Linked DNA regions of Mus musculus. The protein of the gene in region 1 purifies or fractionates together with the protein of each later gene. This does not show direct contact. Links are inferred from orthologs where the notes say so. Each region holds a gene or a part of one and is shown in the gene's direction. Other genes may lie near its edges.

The links. Proteins that work in one complex are often made in the same cells at the same time.
Region 2: the proteins of Ubqln2 (region 1) and Psmc6 purify together in Homo sapiens (affinity purification with mass spectrometry, with the first as the bait; 3 studies listed by BioGRID). This does not show direct contact. The link is inferred for Mus musculus from reciprocal best matches to the Homo sapiens genes UBQLN2 and PSMC6.
Region 3: the proteins of Ubqln2 (region 1) and Rad23a purify together in Homo sapiens (affinity purification with mass spectrometry; 3 studies listed by BioGRID and IntAct, with this or other methods). This does not show direct contact. The link is inferred for Mus musculus from reciprocal best matches to the Homo sapiens genes UBQLN2 and RAD23A.

The regions. Positions count from the first base shown.
Region 1 is NC_000086.7:153,496,392-153,502,163, forward strand, and holds Ubqln2 (ubiquilin-2), read left to right. Parts: upstream 1-1,840; 5' UTR 1,841-2,062; coding exon 2,063-3,979; 3' UTR 3,980-5,171; downstream 5,172-5,772. UniProt on the Homo sapiens protein: Plays an important role in the regulation of different protein degradation mechanisms and pathways including ubiquitin-proteasome system (UPS), autophagy and the endoplasmic reticulum-associated protein degradation (ERAD) pathway.
Region 2 is NC_000080.6:45,327,597-45,333,594, forward strand, and holds the start of Psmc6 (26S proteasome regulatory subunit 10B), read left to right. Parts: upstream 1-2,227; 5' UTR 2,228-2,251; coding exon 2,252-2,336; exon of another isoform or gene 2,337-2,507; intron 2,508-3,233; coding exon 3,234-3,313; intron 3,314-3,390; coding exon 3,391-3,430; intron 3,431-4,309; coding exon 4,310-4,362; intron 4,363-5,998. UniProt on the Homo sapiens protein: Component of the 26S proteasome, a multiprotein complex involved in the ATP-dependent degradation of ubiquitinated proteins.
Region 3 is NC_000074.6:84,836,882-84,842,962, reverse strand, and holds the start of Rad23a (UV excision repair protein RAD23 homolog A), read left to right. Parts: upstream 1-2,310; 5' UTR 2,311-2,397; coding exon 2,398-2,469; intron 2,470-4,007; coding exon 4,008-4,169; intron 4,170-4,312; coding exon 4,313-4,494; intron 4,495-4,634; coding exon 4,635-4,690; intron 4,691-4,828; coding exon 4,829-4,956; intron 4,957-5,195; coding exon 5,196-5,274; intron 5,275-5,369; coding exon 5,370-5,503; coding exon of another isoform or gene 5,504-5,584; exon of another isoform or gene 5,585-6,081. Other genes in the region: Calr (calreticulin precursor), read left to right, coding at 1-19, 119-316. UniProt on the Homo sapiens protein: Multiubiquitin chain receptor involved in modulation of proteasomal degradation. Binds to 'Lys-48'-linked polyubiquitin chains in a length-dependent manner and with a lower affinity to 'Lys-63'-linked polyubiquitin chains.

The DNA.
Region 1 (5,772 bases):
GCCTCTTGTACATTTATTTTCTGTTAATTTTTCTTTCAGTACTAGGAATTGAACCCAGGGTCTCTTCACACACAGTACGCATGTGCTCCATCAGTGAGCAGCAGCCCAGCCCTTCTAGCTAATAGAATATTTTATATACATATGTACATATGTTTTAAATACCATAGATATTTACATTTGATGTGTGTCAGTTAATTATGTTTTGATATGTATTTAAAGCAAGTATACTTTTCATTGTACATTATATCTATATGAGCTCTTGCATATATAATGATTTTTGTACTAGTCATGGGTATAATGGCCCTGTATTTTGTTTTACACTGAGATTTATTAAGGTACTGTGACGTAATGATTTTGAAATGCTGTTAAATCATCTCTAGGTTTTTGTATGGGAAAAGGATTTTCTGTGTTCAAAGCAAGAGAAATAAATGATTTCAGAATAATTTCTTCTATAATTCAGGTTTTCTATAACAGTAATACTCCATTTTTTGTTTTCTTTATTTAATCCATAATGATTATGTTAATTTCTGCCACGACTATTGTGTGCCTGTCAATTTTTACCTTTACTCTTGTCTGAAAATAATATTTGTAGTTTTTAAAAATCATAAACGCAATGCATATTTATTCATCAAATTCACAATCTTATAAAAATAGAAAATAAGAATTATTTACAATTTCAGCTCTTACTAATAATTACCTTTATCATAATGGAGTATAGCCTTTCAGATTTTTTTCACACATACAGTCTACAAGCTTTTTGATGCTGACACCTACACACATGTATTGTTTCCATTTGTTAAGAAAACCATAAAAAATAACCCCAAATATCGTCTATTATTTTCTCCTAACTACAGTGCATTTAATGTATTTTTTAGAGACATGTAATACTACATGAATTAGCCACCATCTTTTAGACACAGGGATTATTTTATTGTATGGCAAAATCATAGTATTCCTGTCACAGACCCATTTAACTAGCTAAACGCTATTTTTTAAAATGCCACGTTGTTTATATATACTTTTCGAATTGATTATTAGGTCTTTCTAAACAAAGGTGCAAATCCTTAAAATGTCCATTTGTATTTTCAAACTGCCCCATTACAACAATTCATACTACGACTAGCATGAGAGTGCATTTTCTCGGCTCCTGGTCAACAAGGTTTAACGTTCTTTTTTTTTTTTTTATCGCTGCCAATATGATAAACCCGAAGGAAAAATCTCATTGTGTTTATTTGAATCCCTTTGATTAGGAGCGAGCCTCATCTTTTCAGAAGCCTGTTGGCCGTTTCTCGGCTTCTTTTGTAAAATGCTCGCTCCCGCCATGCCTTCCCTTCCCCCAACCGGGCGCTCATTCTCCCTTTTTGCTTTGTCAGAGTTCTTTACTATTCATTTTTCGTCCTTTGCCTGGGATCGGTTCAATTCAGGCTTTCATCCTTTCACTGCCTCCCAGATTGCGAACCCACATTCTCCATTGGTCTTTCAGTGGCTGCTAAAGAAGCTGCCTCCCTCTTCCTCCTCCTGGCCTCCTCCCTTCCCCCCTCGCCTCGCCCGCCTCGCCTTGGTCCCCTGGCTTTTCTCTCCAGCCTCCTTCCTTTTCCTTCTCTTCCCCCCTCTCTTTGTTTATTTCTCCCTCCCTCTCCCTCTCCCTCCCTCCGCCCCCCCTCCTCTGCAGGGCAGGAGTTTTGCGCTCGGCCGCGAGACGCTCGCTGGGCTGGCGCCGCGTCAGCAGGGGGCGGGGCGCGGCCGGGGGCGGGGCGGGGCGGGGCGGGGCGGGAGCGCGGGCGCCGCAGCTGCAGGAGTCGCTGGGAGTGCGCGCGGGCAGATCACAAGGCGGCGGCAGCGGAGACGGCCTGCAGGACCTGCTCTCTCAGCCCTCAGCCGAGGCCTACGCCGAGCCGAGTGCGCAGCCGACGACCGGGAGGAGCCGCAGCCTTCAACTCTGAGGTACTGTGATCCGCGCTGCCCGCCGGGCCGCCCCAGTCCGCTGCTGCGGCACCTCCTTCCCTCGCGCCCTCTTCGCTCGCCAGCGCCTTCCCTGTGAGCCTGCGTCACCGCGGCCGCCATGGCTGAGAACGGCGAGAGCAGCGGCCCCCCGCGCCCCTCCCGCGGCCCTGCGGCGGCCCCAGGCGCGGCCAGCCCGCCGGCCGAGCCCAAAATCATCAAAGTCACTGTGAAGACCCCCAAAGAGAAGGAGGAGTTCGCGGTGCCCGAGAACAGCACCGTGCAGCAGTTCAAGGAAGCGATTTCCAAACGCTTCAAATCGCAGACCGATCAGCTCGTGCTGATTTTCGCCGGAAAGATCCTGAAAGATCAAGATACCTTGATGCAGCATGGCATCCATGATGGACTGACTGTTCACCTGGTTATCAAAAGCCAGAACCGTCCGCAGGGCCAGGCCACCACGCAGCCCAGCACGACTGCGGGAACGAGCACGACGACCACGACCACCACCACGGCGGCGGCGCCGGCGGCGACGACATCATCGGCTCCCAGGAGTAGCTCCACACCTACCACCACGAATAGCAGCTCCTTTGGGCTGGGAAGCCTTTCCAGCCTTAGTAACCTGGGCTTGAACTCGCCCAACTTCACCGAGCTTCAGAACCAGATGCAGCAGCAGCTCCTGGCCAGCCCTGAGATGATGATCCAGATCATGGAAAATCCCTTTGTTCAGAGCATGCTTTCGAATCCTGATCTGATGAGGCAGCTCATCATGGCCAATCCACAGATGCAACAATTGATCCAGAGAAACCCAGAAATCAGCCACCTACTGAACAACCCAGATATAATGAGGCAGACGCTGGAAATCGCCAGGAATCCTGCCATGATGCAAGAGATGATGCGAAATCAAGACCTGGCTCTCAGTAATCTCGAAAGCATCCCAGGTGGCTACAATGCTCTGCGGCGCATGTACACTGACATTCAAGAACCTATGCTGAATGCCGCACAGGAGCAGTTTGGGGGCAACCCGTTTGCCACGGTGGGGAGCAGTTCCACCTCAGGGGAAGGTACTCAGCCCTCCCGCACGGAGAATCGTGATCCGCTGCCCAATCCTTGGGCACCACCGCCAACAACCCAGACGGCTGCGACCACCACCACCACCACGACCACAAGCAGTGGCAGTGGCTCTGGCAGCAGCTCCAGCAGCACCACCGCCGGGAACACCATGGCTGCAGCTAATTACGTGGCTAGCATCTTCAGCACCCCAGGAATGCAGAGCCTGCTGCAGCAGATAACTGAGAATCCCCAGCTGATTCAGAATATGCTGTCTGCGCCCTACATGCGGAGCATGATGCAGTCGCTGAGCCAGAATCCAGATATGGCGGCCCAGATGATGCTGAGTAGCCCGCTGTTCACTTCGAATCCTCAGCTGCAGGAGCAGATGCGTCCACAGCTCCCGAATTTCCTGCAGCAGATGCAGAATCCAGAAACCATCGCGGCCATGTCAAACCCGAGAGCGATGCAAGCGCTAATGCAGATCCAGCAGGGGCTACAGACTCTAGCCACTGAAGCACCTGGCCTCATTCCCAGCTTCGCTCCAGGTGTGGGGATGGGAGTGCTGGGAACCGCCATAACCCCTGTGGGCCCAGTCACTCCCATAGGGCCCATCGGCCCTATAGTTCCTTTCACCCCCATAGGCCCCATCGGGCCTATAGGACCCACTGGCCCTGCAAGCTCCCCCGGCTCCACCGGCACTGGCATCCCGCCTGCAACCACTGTGTCCAGCTCTGCACCTACTGAAACCATAAGTCCAACCTCGGAATCTGGACCCAACCAGCAGTTCATTCAACAAATGGTGCAGGCTCTCACTGGAGGAAGCCCTCCACAGCCGCCGAATCCTGAAGTGAGATTTCAGCAGCAACTGGAACAGCTCAACGCCATGGGGTTCTTAAACCGCGAAGCAAACTTGCAGGCCCTAATAGCAACAGGAGGCGACATCAACGCGGCCATTGAGAGGCTGCTGGGCTCTCAGCCATCCTAATTACGTTTCTGTACCTTGAAAAAAAATGTATCTTATTTTTGATAATGGCTCTTAAATCTTTAAACACACAAAATTGTGCTTTACTTTTATTTTGATTCTTTTAAATCTGTCTACCTATAAATCTAATAGGATGCATTTTAAGGTGGAGTCCCTCCCTCCCTCCCTCCCTCCCTCCCTGCTCCTCCTCCCCCCACCCTCTCCCTTCCCTTCCAGCCTGCCCTCTCCCCTCTTTGTTTCCTTCATTCCTTTCTTTTCTTCTTTTGATTTCCTTCCTTCTCTGATTTGAATGGTGGGAATCAATACTGTTTCACTCAAAGGTGTTGCATGCAAACACTTCTCTTTATTCTGCATTTATTGTGATTTTTGGAAACAGGTATCAGCCTTCACAGTTGGGTGAACAAGTTTTGTCCTACAGATGTCCAGTTTATTTGCATTTTAAACATTAGCCTATGATAGTAATTTAATGTAGAATGAAGATATTAAAAAAACAGAAGCAAATTATTTGAAGCTCTCTAATTTGTGGTAAAATATTGCTTATTGTGACTTTGGCATGTATTTTTGCTAGCAAATGCTGTAAGATTTATACCATTCATTGATCGTTTTTGCTATTTGTACACAGTACAGTAAGCACAATTGGAATTGTACATCTAGAAGTATTACTGTAGAATCTCTGAGCAGAATATGTGTAACCAAAATAAGAAAGAATATAAGAAATATTCCTGAAGCTAGGTATGTCTCACAATTTTGTAGAATCTTACAGCATATTTGATAAATTTCTCAGTGAAAATGTTGGCTAGGCAAGTTCAGTTAAAATATAGTAGAAATGTTTATCCTGGTTTCTCTAAGTATACATTAAATTGTACAGAAACCTTACAGTGTAACATTGTGTCAACAGTTGCAGATTGATTGTATATGACCTTAATCTTTGTGCAGCCTGAAGGATCAGTGTAGTGACTCCAGGAAAGTGCTTTTTATCTAAGAGTTCCTCAGCTTCTCCCATGAAGAGACCTTCATATGCATTTTGATTTGTAATTGGAAATGTAACTTTTACTGGAAGTGTCATGTGATGTTTGCATTACTTTTAACTGCTATGTATAAAGGAAAGTGTATCTTTTGGCTCTATCAGTTATTTCTCTTGTGCACAGGGAAAAATGCATTAAAATGACTAAAAAAATAAAAAAATAATAAAAAATGGAGAAAGCTCTTTTATTTTGCCTTTTGGCCCTAGAATCACATCTAGAAGGGTTAGCTCCCCTCACAAGTGTTTATTTACAGGATTGTACTATGGGAAATTATTTTTGACATGCACATTTAGATGTTCTAATTATTGCCCCCAAAGGTTAACCAATTATTAATTAGTATTTCCCCTGCCCCCCCACCAGTATATTGGGAATGTGACTGGGCTTATTTTAAATAGATAAAATATGGGAAACGATAGTATCCCGGTGTCTTTTAGAAACAATATGTTGTTTTATGAGGTGGGGTACTGGGAGGATTGTTAAAAGCAGGATCTCACTGACTAGCTTTTTAGTTAGTCTAGTTCCTGCTAATTGGACTCAGCTATTAGGAAGCACTATTGTGCTACTAATAGGAGCCTCTAGTGTGCTCATGTGGTCATCTTAATACACAAAATTTATTTTCAGACATTATTTTACATTAACAATCACAAGCACCTATTTCATAAAATTCTGGGTGGCTCTTTCCTGCTAAGCTGAATGGTAAGTTGAATGCCCTCTGTCAAACGTATAGCACGGGCACTAATTGTGTGTGCTGCACAGTATGTAGCAGTGCTA
Region 2 (5,998 bases), on another chromosome or scaffold:
AGCCTCTGCGTGCATATATTTTTGCTGAGCCATATAAATTGGACTGCCTTTTATATTCTGCCTTGTCTTTTCTTCTTGATGTCAGAATTGATATATATTGGTATGAACCTACTCACTTGATCAAAATAGTGTGGGAGAAAGGACACTCCCTGTCACTTTATTTACTTATTGTCTCCTTCAAAAGCCAGTTTTAGAAAAAAAAAATACAACAGAAAATTCACATAATAACCACACCATTTTCTCCAAGAAAATTTGGAAGACTGTCACTTTAGGCATTAATTCACATAACTGTACATGTATTTGTAAAGCATATTCATTTTTTTTTAGGGTGCTGGGAGTTAAACTCAGCTGTACGTTAGGCAAGTATTCTACCAATGTTATACTCCCAGCATGAGAATAACAATTTAAAAGAATACAATTACCATATGCCACATTTTGGATTAACATCTTTAGTTATATTGTCTATTTAATACCCATGACAACCTTTTTACATATGTACAATTATGCTGATTTTATGAAGACATCAAGATATCACCACCCCTCCACCACAGAGATCTGAGATAGTCCTAGCAGACTTCAAAGTTCCTACCTTGGTCGCTGCAGAAACTTTATCTTGTGTTCTACATCTCTAGCCCATTTCCTTCCAGTTCTGCTGGCCTCCTTTCTCTGATAGAAGTGAGACAAACTCTTTGCTACCTTAGAATCATGCACTTGCTGTTTAATCTCTTCAGAAGGCTCTCCACGTGGTGGCATAATGGGGCCCCTTCTGCTCTCAGACATGTTCAAAATTTATTCTCCTCCTTATCCCACAATATCCTTTTATTTCAATTGTAGCATTTACTACATTAAGGTATTTTTATGATTTATTATCATTTATGCATCTGTGCATGTGGACCTCATGCCAACTTTGAGTGGGTCCCATGAATCCAATTCAGGTCACCTGGCTTCCATGACAAGCGCGCCTTTGCCCACTGAACCATCTCTCTGGCCCCTATTCAAATCATTTCTAATTTCCTTATTACATGTTAGAATATTTTCTAATATTCTGATTACAAGCAGGTCAGTGCTTTATTGGGTAACTGAAAATTTCCTACTTATGCTCATGCAATTGATATCAAAAGGCTGCATCTTTGGGCTGGAAAGTGGTTTACTGGTTATGTGAGCTTCCGGCTCTTCCTAAAGATCTCTGTGTGTTTGTGGAGTGCATTCATTCAGTTTTAGGGTGCTGGGGGTTAATAAACTCAGGGCTTCTGTGTGCTAGGCAAATACTCTACCAAAGGTACACTCCCAGCCTGTCAATAATAATTTAAAAGAACACAGTCACTGAGCCTAGAGAGATAGCTCAAAGGGTATTCGTACTTGTTGCTCTTGGAGAGGATCTGGGTTCGGTTCCCAGTATCCACATAGAGGCTCACAACCGTCTATAATTCCAGTTTCAGGGGAATCATGTGGTTTTTTCTGACCTCCTCCAGCACCAGGCACACACGTGCTGCACACACATACATGCAGGCAAGATATTTATATGCATAAAATAAATAAGATTTTTTTTTTTAAATCATAGCTGCTTGTAACTCCAGAGCCAAGAAATCCGATGCCCTCTACTGGCTTCTGTGAGCACTTGCCCTCCTAAGGTATACACTAAGGCACACACATAAACACATAAATAAAAATAAATAATTTGGGAAAGAAAAAGGCTGAATTTGAAAATGTGACTCAGTTGGGAAAGCTCTTGCTTAGCATGCCGGAGACTCTGAATTCGATTTCCACACAGCACATACTGAATGTTCGAGTTTGCCTGTAATTCCACTAGGAAGCCGGTGGTGGGGGGGGGGAGGACCAGAGTTCAAGCCCAGCGCTGCAGAATGAGTGCTAAGGCAGTGTGGATTACAAGACACTGTCTCAAAAAAAAAAAAATCTTGTCATTTCCTCTTGCTTTTCAGTTTATTACAGATCCTTTGGCGTTCTAAGAAAGCAGTGACTTAATATTGAGCCAGCCAGTAGCTAAGTCAGGCATTGCTCACTCTGGCCTGCAGGGGACAGTGTGACCGGAGACGATCTTCTGCGCTTTCGAGGCTTTCTGCCGCTCTAGGTGACTGACTTCGGCGCCCGGAGCCAGAGGCGGGCCAGCCGGAAGGGGCGGAGCCAGTCACGGTCCCGCCCCAGGCCGCCTCTGCGCCCTCGCCCCGCCCCCTCCCCCGCCCGGGCTGCCATGGCCCTTCCCGGCATCCCCTATGAGCGACGGCTTCTCATCATGGCGGACCCTAGAGATAAGGCGCTTCAGGACTATCGCAAGAAGCTGCTAGAGCACAAGGAGATTGACGGCCGTCTTAAGGAGCGTGAGTGAGCCTTGACACACTCTCTAGTGCCTGGACCGGCTTCGGTCTCTGATAGAGCGGAGGCTTCGGCTGAGCCCGAAAACAGCGCCTGGCTTGGGAAGGCCCGAGTCCAGGGACGAGGCGCTTTGTCATCCCGCCCCGCGCTGGGGTGCAGCACCGCCTCGGCCGTGGGTATGGCCCCAGTCCCAGTCCGGTGGCATAGAGAACAGCCACAGTTCTGAGGTGGAAGAGGGGAAGATTAGAGGAGTGAGGTACAAGTGGGCTGGGGACATATTCCGGGTGCAGGAAGGCAGGCTTGGAGTCTCGGGACCCGGGGATGGGAGGACGCTTGAGTCAAAGAAGCTCCAGCCGGACGCGGGACTCACGGAGGCGGCTTGTACTTGGGGTAGAAGGGGGCTCAGTGGTTGTAATAGCCTTTCTCGTCTTCCCTCAGGCGTCATACTGAGTACCAAGTTTTCTGTATACCCTGAACATTCACGTTTTGAAAACCCTGCGTGATTTAATTAAATGAGAGAATACCGCAGCCTAGGATTCGGTGAAGAATTGCGTTGGTTGACTTAATTTAGTATGGACAACCAGAGTAAGCCAGGTGATCTTAGTGTAGCTATGGGAGGCTTGATTCACCTTATCGTTTAGTTTTGTAGCAAATCTGAAGGTGGCAGGATGTCACTATCGGTTAAAAATGTAACTTAAAAATATTTCCTACCAAGAAAATAGATATGATACTTTCTCTGTTACATTTCATTTTAAAACATGCCACCTATCCACTACAAACTGGAAAAAAAAATCTTATTTTGTGGTTTGAAACAGTAGGTTTGAAACCTAAGGTAAAAGAGACCTAAGTAAAAAATTTTATGCAGTTGTTTAATTTAAAATGTCAAAATTTTATTATTTCAGTAAGGGAACAATTAAAAGAACTTACCAAGCAGTATGAAAAGTCTGAAAATGATTTGAAGGCACTACAAAGTGTTGGACAGGTAGGTGATAAAGTTTGAAAGTATGTTGCCATTTCTAAGCTATTGGCAAAAGGTAATGCCCCTTTTTTCTTTTCCAGATTGTAGGTGAAGTGCTAAAACAGTTAACAGAAGAAAAATGTAAGTGGATTAACTTACTAATTATTAAAAAATAAAAAGCCCCAGTTCTTTGCCAGCTTTTGAAATGCCCATTTTATTTTGATTTTTGAGGCCAGGTACTTCTATGTAGCTCTGGATGCAGCTTCCTATGTAGACTAGACTGGCCTTGAACTCACAAGCCTTTTGCTTTCCAGTGCTGGAATTTTAGGCATGTGTGACATTATGGAAGGCTGTTTTAATTCATTCATATATATACATATACACATACATATATACATATATATGTGTGTGTGTGTGTGTGTGTATATACATACATACACACACACACTCTAAAGATGTATTGTTCTTTGTAAGTACACTTAGCTGTCTTCAGACAGCGAACAGAGGAACAGAGAAGGGAGTCAGATCTCATTACAGATGGTTGTGAGCCACCATGTGGGTTCTGGGATTTGAACTCAAGACCTTCAGGAAGAGCAGTCAGTGCTCTTAACCGCTGAGCCATCTCTCCAGCCCTTCTAATTCTTAATTCATCTATTTATGTATGTGTGTCTGTCTCTATGTCTGTGTCCCCTGCACTCATGTGTATATGTGTATGCATGTGTGTGTGCATGCATCAAAGGACTACTGTGGGAGTTGCTTTTCTGCTTCTGCCATGTAAGATGGGACCCAGAGATTGGCCTGAGTAAGATCAATGAGCTTGGGAGTAAGTGCCTTTATTTAATAACCCATCAGGATAGCCATGAAGTGCCTAGTATTCTAATGACAACAATACAAGGAGTTGGTCTTTGTTTACATAAGCTAAATTTTGTATTTACTGTTCTTAGTGGTCAGACATAAAACTACACTCACCATAGATGTAGATGTATTTGTTTTCTAACTTTGTTTTTCAATTTGTTCTAGTCATCGTTAAAGCAACAAATGGACCAAGATACGTTGTAGGTTGTCGTCGTCAGGTAATGTTTTCTGATGGGGCATTGTGCCCATAACTCCCAAGAGTGCTTTGTTCAGACACAGCAAATGACTAGCAAAGCCTGGAATTTCTTAGTCCCTAGTGTTTCATATCTGTACTTAGAAATCAAATCATTTTAAAACTAGAAAGAAAATGGTTTAGTATGATGTCTTTCTTGAAGAGCATATCAATTACCCATGTTTTACATTTAAACATTCAAAAATGTTGCTTACAGACTCAGCGGTAGTTAACTTTTTAGTCATTTGGACCAGAATGGGCAAATTGAAATACCTCTGCATTTCATTTTGCAGACTTTACAGTGTAAGTGAGTAGTTTAGAATGAGACAGTAGCATTTGCAATTTATAAACCATTCTATTCTTTAGGAAGTGTCTTAAGCATTTGCTGAAGCACTTTTTCTGGGAGTATTTGTCATATTGAGTTTACGTTTTCATTGTTGGTTTTGTTTTTTGTAACTGGATCTTGCTATGTAGCCTATAGTGCCTTTAAACTAACAATACTGGTACCTCAGCCTCCTGAGTACCAGGACAGTATTTGCCATTATGCCGGGTTCAGGTTTTAAAACGTTGATATAACATGACTCTAGAATAATATTTAACATTGAGGCTAAAGCTAATCTTAGGATTTCAGCATATAACTAGATAGTTTTGTAATCGAATACTACAAGCCTAGGAGCTGGTGAGTGGCTCAGCTGTTGAGAGCACGGGAGCTCTTCCAGAGGAACTGGGTTTGATTCTCAGCACTCAACAAGGGCTCACAATCATCTATACCTCTATTTCCAAGGGCTCTGGTGTCCTCTTCTCGTCTCTACAGCCACCTGCATGGTAACACAGCATATATGCAGACAAAACACCCATATACATAAAAATGAAGATTTAGAAAGTATTATAGGCCCAGGTTTGGGGATGTAGCACAGTAGCAAAATACATGGCAAGCACATGAGACACCTGGTGAACCCTACTAATGAAAATGGAGTTTTGTTATGTCTTAGTTAGCTTTTGCATTCCTTTCAAGGCCCTCTGGATGCCAAAAATTGGCATTTCTAAGATACTGTTTTGAAAGAGTTTCTTTTGAACTCACTCTGTAGACCAGACTGGCCTCAAACTCAGAAATCCACCTGCCTCTGCCTCCCAAGTGCTGGGATTAAAGGTGTGCGCCACCACTGCCCGGCTATAAAGGTCTTTTTATTTAGTGTTTTGCCTATTTTTACGCGCGCGCGTGTGTGTGTGTGTGTGTGTGTGTGTGTGTGTATTATATATGTGGTACATGCATGTGATTGTGTAATGCACCTATAGGAAGGCCAGAGCAGGACATCATTCTCTGTGTTACTGCTTTGAGACAGGGTCTCATAGAACTGGAGGAAGTGTGTGTGTGTGTGTGTGTGTGTGTGTGTGTGTGTATTATATATGTGGTACATGCATGTGATTGTGTAATGCACCTATAGGAAGGCCAGAGCAGGACATCATTCTCTGTGTTACTGCTTTGAGACAGGGTCTCATAGAACTGGAGGAAGTCTTGGCTAGGCTAGCTGGCCAGTGATCTTGGGATCTGCCTATCCCCACCTACCAATGTTGGACTAATAGGTACCAGTTGGCTTTTTATAGACGTGAGAGAGAAGAGC
Region 3 (6,081 bases), on another chromosome or scaffold:
GACGTGGGGTGTTACCAAGGTGGGTCAGAGCTCTTTGTTTACTCTAGGGGTCATCTGGGAGGACTGGCAGACAGATTTGAGCCAGGTATTAAAAGATATGGTTGGTTGGTCCTCACAGGCTGCAGAGAAGCAGATGAAGGACAAGCAGGATGAGGAGCAGAGGCTTAAGGAAGAAGAAGAGGACAAGAAGCGTAAAGAGGAAGAAGAAGCTGAGGATAAAGAGGATGATGATGACAGAGATGAAGATGAGGACGAAGAAGATGAGAAGGAGGAAGATGAGGAAGAATCCCCTGGCCAAGCCAAGGATGAGCTGTAGAGGCCACACCACCTGCCTTCAGGGCTGGACTGAGGCCTGAACACCCTGCCGCAGAGCTGGCTGCTCCCAATAATGTCTCTATGAGACTCAAGAACTTTTCATTTTTTCCAGGCAGGTTCAGATCTGGGGTAGATTCTGATTTTGTTCCCCTGCCTCCCCCATTACCCCCCCCCCTTTTTTTTTTTACTGGTGTTTGTCTTTAATTCTCCTTCAGCCCTCATCTGGTTTCTCATTTTTGAATCAACATCTTTTCCTTCTGTCCCTCCCTTTCTCCATCTTTTGGTCACTACCCTCCAACTCTAGGAACAGGGGTGTAGAGGAGAAGCCCTAGGCTTGAGATTTCATCTGCTCTCCTTCCTGCATCTCAGAGGAGGGCAGGAGAAGGGGGTGGTGTTTTCCCTCCCCCCGCACTGAGGAAGAATGGGGCTCTTCTCATCCCCTTTCTCCCTTGCCCCCAGGACTGGGCCACTTGTGGGGCAGCCAGTTCTAGCACAGCTCACACTGAGAGTGTAAGAACTACAAACAAAATTTCTATTAAATTAAGTTTTGTGTCTTCCCTATTGTGTCTCCTTCTCTGGGAGGATGTACATCAGGAGCTAAAAGCAGCCTTTCTCAGGTGCGGGTGACGTATGTTTCAGCTACTGGAGTTTGCAGAGTCTCAGAAATGTCATTTATATGTATCCCATAGTCTCTAAATGGGAGAGTAGCCATCAGGTCTTGATCCTAAACTCATAGACGTGTAAGTTTTGATTCTAGCACAGACCTCATTGACAGACTGACTAGAATTTAGTGAATTCAAATATTAGCCATCTTGGTTAAAAGTGGGATGGATCTGTTGGACTGACACCTAGGAAAGCTGAGCAAAGTTCACAGTAGTGGGGTGCATGCTGGTAGATAATAGTCAAAGGGACTGACTGAGCTCAGGGACAGTGATCTACTTTCCCCAAGGGCCCATGGTTCTAGGACTGAGCTGATAAAGATAGATTCCAGGATTGGGTTATGTAGTTCAGTTGGACACTTAGCTAGCATGGCCTGGGTTCCATCCCCACCACAAGGAAAAGAAGAGACTCATTGTTGAGTCTCAAGGCTGCCTTTTATACTCTAGTGTAGTAGGTTGAAGAATGGGCAGGAGGAAGCCTGTGTTCTTCACAAGAAAGTTGTGATCTAGCTTTCAATTCTGGAGTCTAGACTCAAGTGAAGGGAGGGAGGCAGGCCTTGGTTAATTGCCTGATCATTGGTGTGGATAGAAACACTGGGCAAAGCAAGCATCTAAGAGGATGGTGATGTTAGTTCTGTTTGAGAGTCCCTTAAATCACCCTGATGAACTGCCCTATCCTGAGTCTGACATTTTCATTACTTTTTGGTATGTGAGGGTGGTCTAAAGCTTCATGAATACTACCCCTTCCCCCCACGAAAAATGTAGGTACCTTAAGAGTTGGTGTAAGTAAGGAAAATTTATGGAGGGGAGAATTACATATTTAATATAAAAGAACCTTGAAAATGTTTGGATGAATAGGTAGGTCATTGCAGGATTACAAAGATGTGGGGAACTCATGAACTAGAAGTGTAAATTTATTCCAAAAATTAAGATGGTCCTTGAAAATGGGGTCACATAGTTGCCCTCCTCTACATTGATTGATGGTAACTTCTAGGCAGTCCTCTGCTAAGATTCCTTTTATTTTGACCAGATCCAAATTGGGTCACTTGAAATAGGCAGAATGTATGAAAAATAACTTAGGAGCAGAAATCTACAACAAACACCTTAAAAACTTTAAAAGTCCTTAGGAGCCATTTTGTGGGTATAATGACATCACTGTTAGCAGAAATGATGTCACCAAGACAGCGGAATGCTGGTGCACACAGCAAAAGCTCACAAAGCTAAGATTGCGCATGTCTAAGGTAAGGTGCAGCCGCGCATGCTCTAGAGGTCGAGGAGGGTGTCACCGGCGCTGACGATCGGCGGGCGCTGCACACTTGCCCCGGAAGTGCTTGGCGCGGCGCGGCTGGGCGCTAAGATGGCGGCGGCGTGAGTTGCATGTAGTACGAGGATCCCGGGGCTGCCGCATTGCTCCGGCCCCGCCATGGCCGTCACCATCACCCTTAAAACGTTGCAGCAGCAGACCTTCAAGATCCGCATGGAACCTGACGAGACGGTGCGGGCCGGAGCCCGGGGGCGGGAGCGACCGGGTGCCGGGGTGGGTGGGGGCAGGGATGCCGGGATCCAACGGGAGGGGCGGAGAGGACGCCGTGGCCAGGCCCTGCCCTCCCCCAGCAGCCCGACCTCCTCGGATCCCCCCGATCGGCCCTGCCCTGCCCCGGCGGCTCGGGCGCTGTTCCCGGGCCAGTCCCTGGGAGTTCCCAGGTCTGGCTCCCGTGTCAGCTGCGGGCTCCGCGTTCCCAGCCTGCAAGCTGCTCAGGTGGCACAGTTTGCCCTCAGTGCCAACGAGGTGCCGACTGGTGACTACAATGATGATAATAATAAATGGTCTTAATCTTAATAGTTTTGGTGGTCCGTCTTTGTTGGCCGTTTATTCTTTACCAGTTTATTCTTTACCAGAGTATTAGTGTCATCTTGCTGAGTCTGCAAAACAGTGTTGTCGTTTGGGGACTCCTGACTTTCCCCTTTTGACAACCACGGAGTTAAGGAACTTTGCCACGGTCACAGCCAATAATGACAGTGACAAGATTTTTTTTTTTCTCCATTTCACATAACAGCAGCCTAAACATGCTGTATGAACTTTTGTTTGGTTTTGCTTTTTGAGAGTGGAGTCTAGTCTTGTTCTTCTGGGCTCATGTGAACCTTCTTTACTTAACCTCCAAGTAACTGATATTGCTGTCTTGGGCCACCTCCCCTAAACCTTCTCAAAACATAGGTTGAAGCCATTGGTGTACCCTCAGTGAAGTCTAAGCTTGGTAGTCATGTTCATAATCTCTGAGCAGAGATTACCTGGAGTTCTAGGCCAGCCTGGGCTATGATGTTTTAGGCAAGCCTGGAGTTGAGTACAGAATAAAATCCTGTTCCAAAAATGGAGGGAAGAAAGATGACCTCAGTAAGTACAGAAAAGTTACTGTTTGAGGCCAGCGATGGATACACCGTTTCATTTTCTTATTACTGTTTCCCCTCCTAACCACATCCCATTGGAAATACAAGTTTGCTTTTCTTCTCACATCAGTGTCTTCTTCATGAGAACACTGACTTGTGTTTGTTCTGTTCCACAGGCCTCTGTAAAACAAGTTGTAAAACAGGTTGGGGATGGAGCTTTTGAATATACAAGGCCTGAGCTAGGGGTCTGTCCCCAAACCACCACTACCATTACACACACACACATATACACACACGGTGAACAGTTCCCGTGTCTGGCATGTAATAGACTGCTGTCAGCTCGATAGATTGAATAGGAATCTCATAGGATTGAAAGCAAAGCTTTTTCTCTAAACAAAAGGGAAGAAGAAGGGAACCTAAGGGTTCGTGATGGTCATTGTATTCTATTTGAAATGGTCTCACTATATAGTCCTGGCTAGCCTGGAACTTAAAGAGATCCACTTGTCTCTCCTAAGTGCTGGGATTATAAGTGTGCACAACTATGCCTGGATTTCACTGAGGGTGTCTTGGTGTGTTAGTGCTATTTATAAATGCACGCACACTGTACTATTAAACTTCTGTGTTTAATACCTGTACTCCTTACTCTAGGTAAAGGTGCTGAAGGAGAAGATAGAAGCTGAGAAGGGTAGAGATGCTTTCCCCGTGGCTGGACAGAAACTCATCTATGCTGGCAAGATCTTGAGTGACGATGTTCCCATCAAGGAATACCATATAGATGAGAAGAACTTTGTGGTTGTCATGGTGACCAAGGTGGGGAGATTAGCTGGGATGCTGGCAAAGAGCTTGTATGCCCAGGAGAGATTAGCCTTAGGCAGGGTGGGGCCATGATGGGGCAGGGTGGCAAGGCTTGATAGGGATGCTGCTTGCCTGATTCTCGTTTCTTGTTGTCACAGGCCAAAGCTGGCCAGGGTATCCCGGCACCCCCAGAGGCCTCACCCACTGCTGTCCCGGAGCCCTCCACACCTTTCCCTCCAGTCCTGGCATCAGGCATGTCTCATCCCCCACCTACCAGCAGAGAGGACAAGAGCCCATCAGAGGAGTCAACCACCACAACATCTCCAGAATCCATTTCTGGGTAAGGAAAGGGCAGTAGCTTACCCTGTACCCACTCTGTCTTCCTGTGCCTTCCAGTACCCACCTATGTGGTCCCAGGCACTTTCGGGGAGGGCAAGCCACCAGAAGCCAGGGTCCGATTTCTCTCTCTTGAATTTGCAGCTCTGTTCCCTCTTCAGGTAGCAGCGGGCGAGAGGAAGACGCAGCTTCCACATTAGGTGGGTGGGTGGTCCTCAGGGCAGAGGCGACTGGAAGCCCCAGCCATCAGCCTTTGACAGCCTTGTCTGGGTCTGGGAGGGTCTGGGAGCTGTCCTCCTGTGCCTCTGGTGACCCCGGCCCTGCTGCTCCCTCCACAGTGACTGGCTCTGAATATGAGACGATGCTGACTGAGATCATGTCCATGGGCTACGAGCGGGAGCGGGTTGTGGCCGCATTGAGGGCCAGCTACAACAACCCCCACCGAGCTGTGGAGTACTTGCTCACGGTGAGGGGGCCATCACTGCCTCCTGGGAGTCTCCAGGTCTCCGTGCCTCAACAGGCAGTGGAGGTGGAGCCTACCCCATAGGCTTTTGTGTATTGAGTGTTGCCATTGAAGTCTTCCCAGAGAGGCTGGACAGAGAACGTGGAGGGCAGGGATGAGACCTTCCTGTCCTGTCAGGCTGCTCACTTGGGAGAGGGGAAGGGGATCTGTTTGAAAGAACTAAAAAGCAGGATCCCTGACAGGGAATTCCAGGAAGCCCTGAGCCTGAACATGGTTCTGTCCAGGAAAGCCAGGCGCCTGAGCAGCCGGCCACAGAAGCAGGTGAGCAGGTTGGATGGTGTCCTCATGGGCATCTGCAGTCTGGATTCCGAAGCCCCTGCAGGGAGGGCTCTGACCACACTTCTTCCTGCCACCAGCAGGGGAGAACCCCCTGGAGTTCCTGCGGGACCAGCCTCAGTTCCAGAACATGCGGCAAGTGATTCAACAGAACCCAGCGCTCCTGCCTGCTCTGCTCCAGCAGCTGGGTCAGGAAAACCCTCAGCTCCTGCAGGTGCGGCCCAGGGTGAGGGAGCTGAGACAGCCACCTTCCCAGTTCCTTAGGGGATCACCCAGGGAGGTAGCTTTGCTCTGAGAAAGCAGAACTAGCAGAGGCCAAGCCCCTGCTCCCTGATGACTTCTAAGGTTACATTGTAACCTGACTCCTAGGGAGGTGTGGATGCTATGGGCATCCATCTGCTGAAGACATCAGAGGCTCAGAGCAGGCTGCCATATGTCTGGCTGGGTCCTGGACTCCAGCCACAGCATTCTTCTCAGTTCTTGCTCTGTCTGCAGCTCCTCTGTCCTGGCCTTCTTCCTGATCTGACCTTCACCTTGACCCTCTCTCTATGTGGTGACCTAAACCTGTGTCATTATACCAGGTCCCTTGGGACCCTCTCATCTGAGCTGTGAAAGGATTTCCTGGACCTCTGAGTTTTCAGACCATTCTTCTCTGTTTGAGCCTCTCACAACCTCCTGGGGACTCTCTCTGCTTCTACCCCAATATCAGCCATTTCTCCCACCCAGTGTCCTGGCATCCTCTTCTCGAGCCTTTTAATTCTACACAGGGCCCCCGATGAACTGTCCACCTAG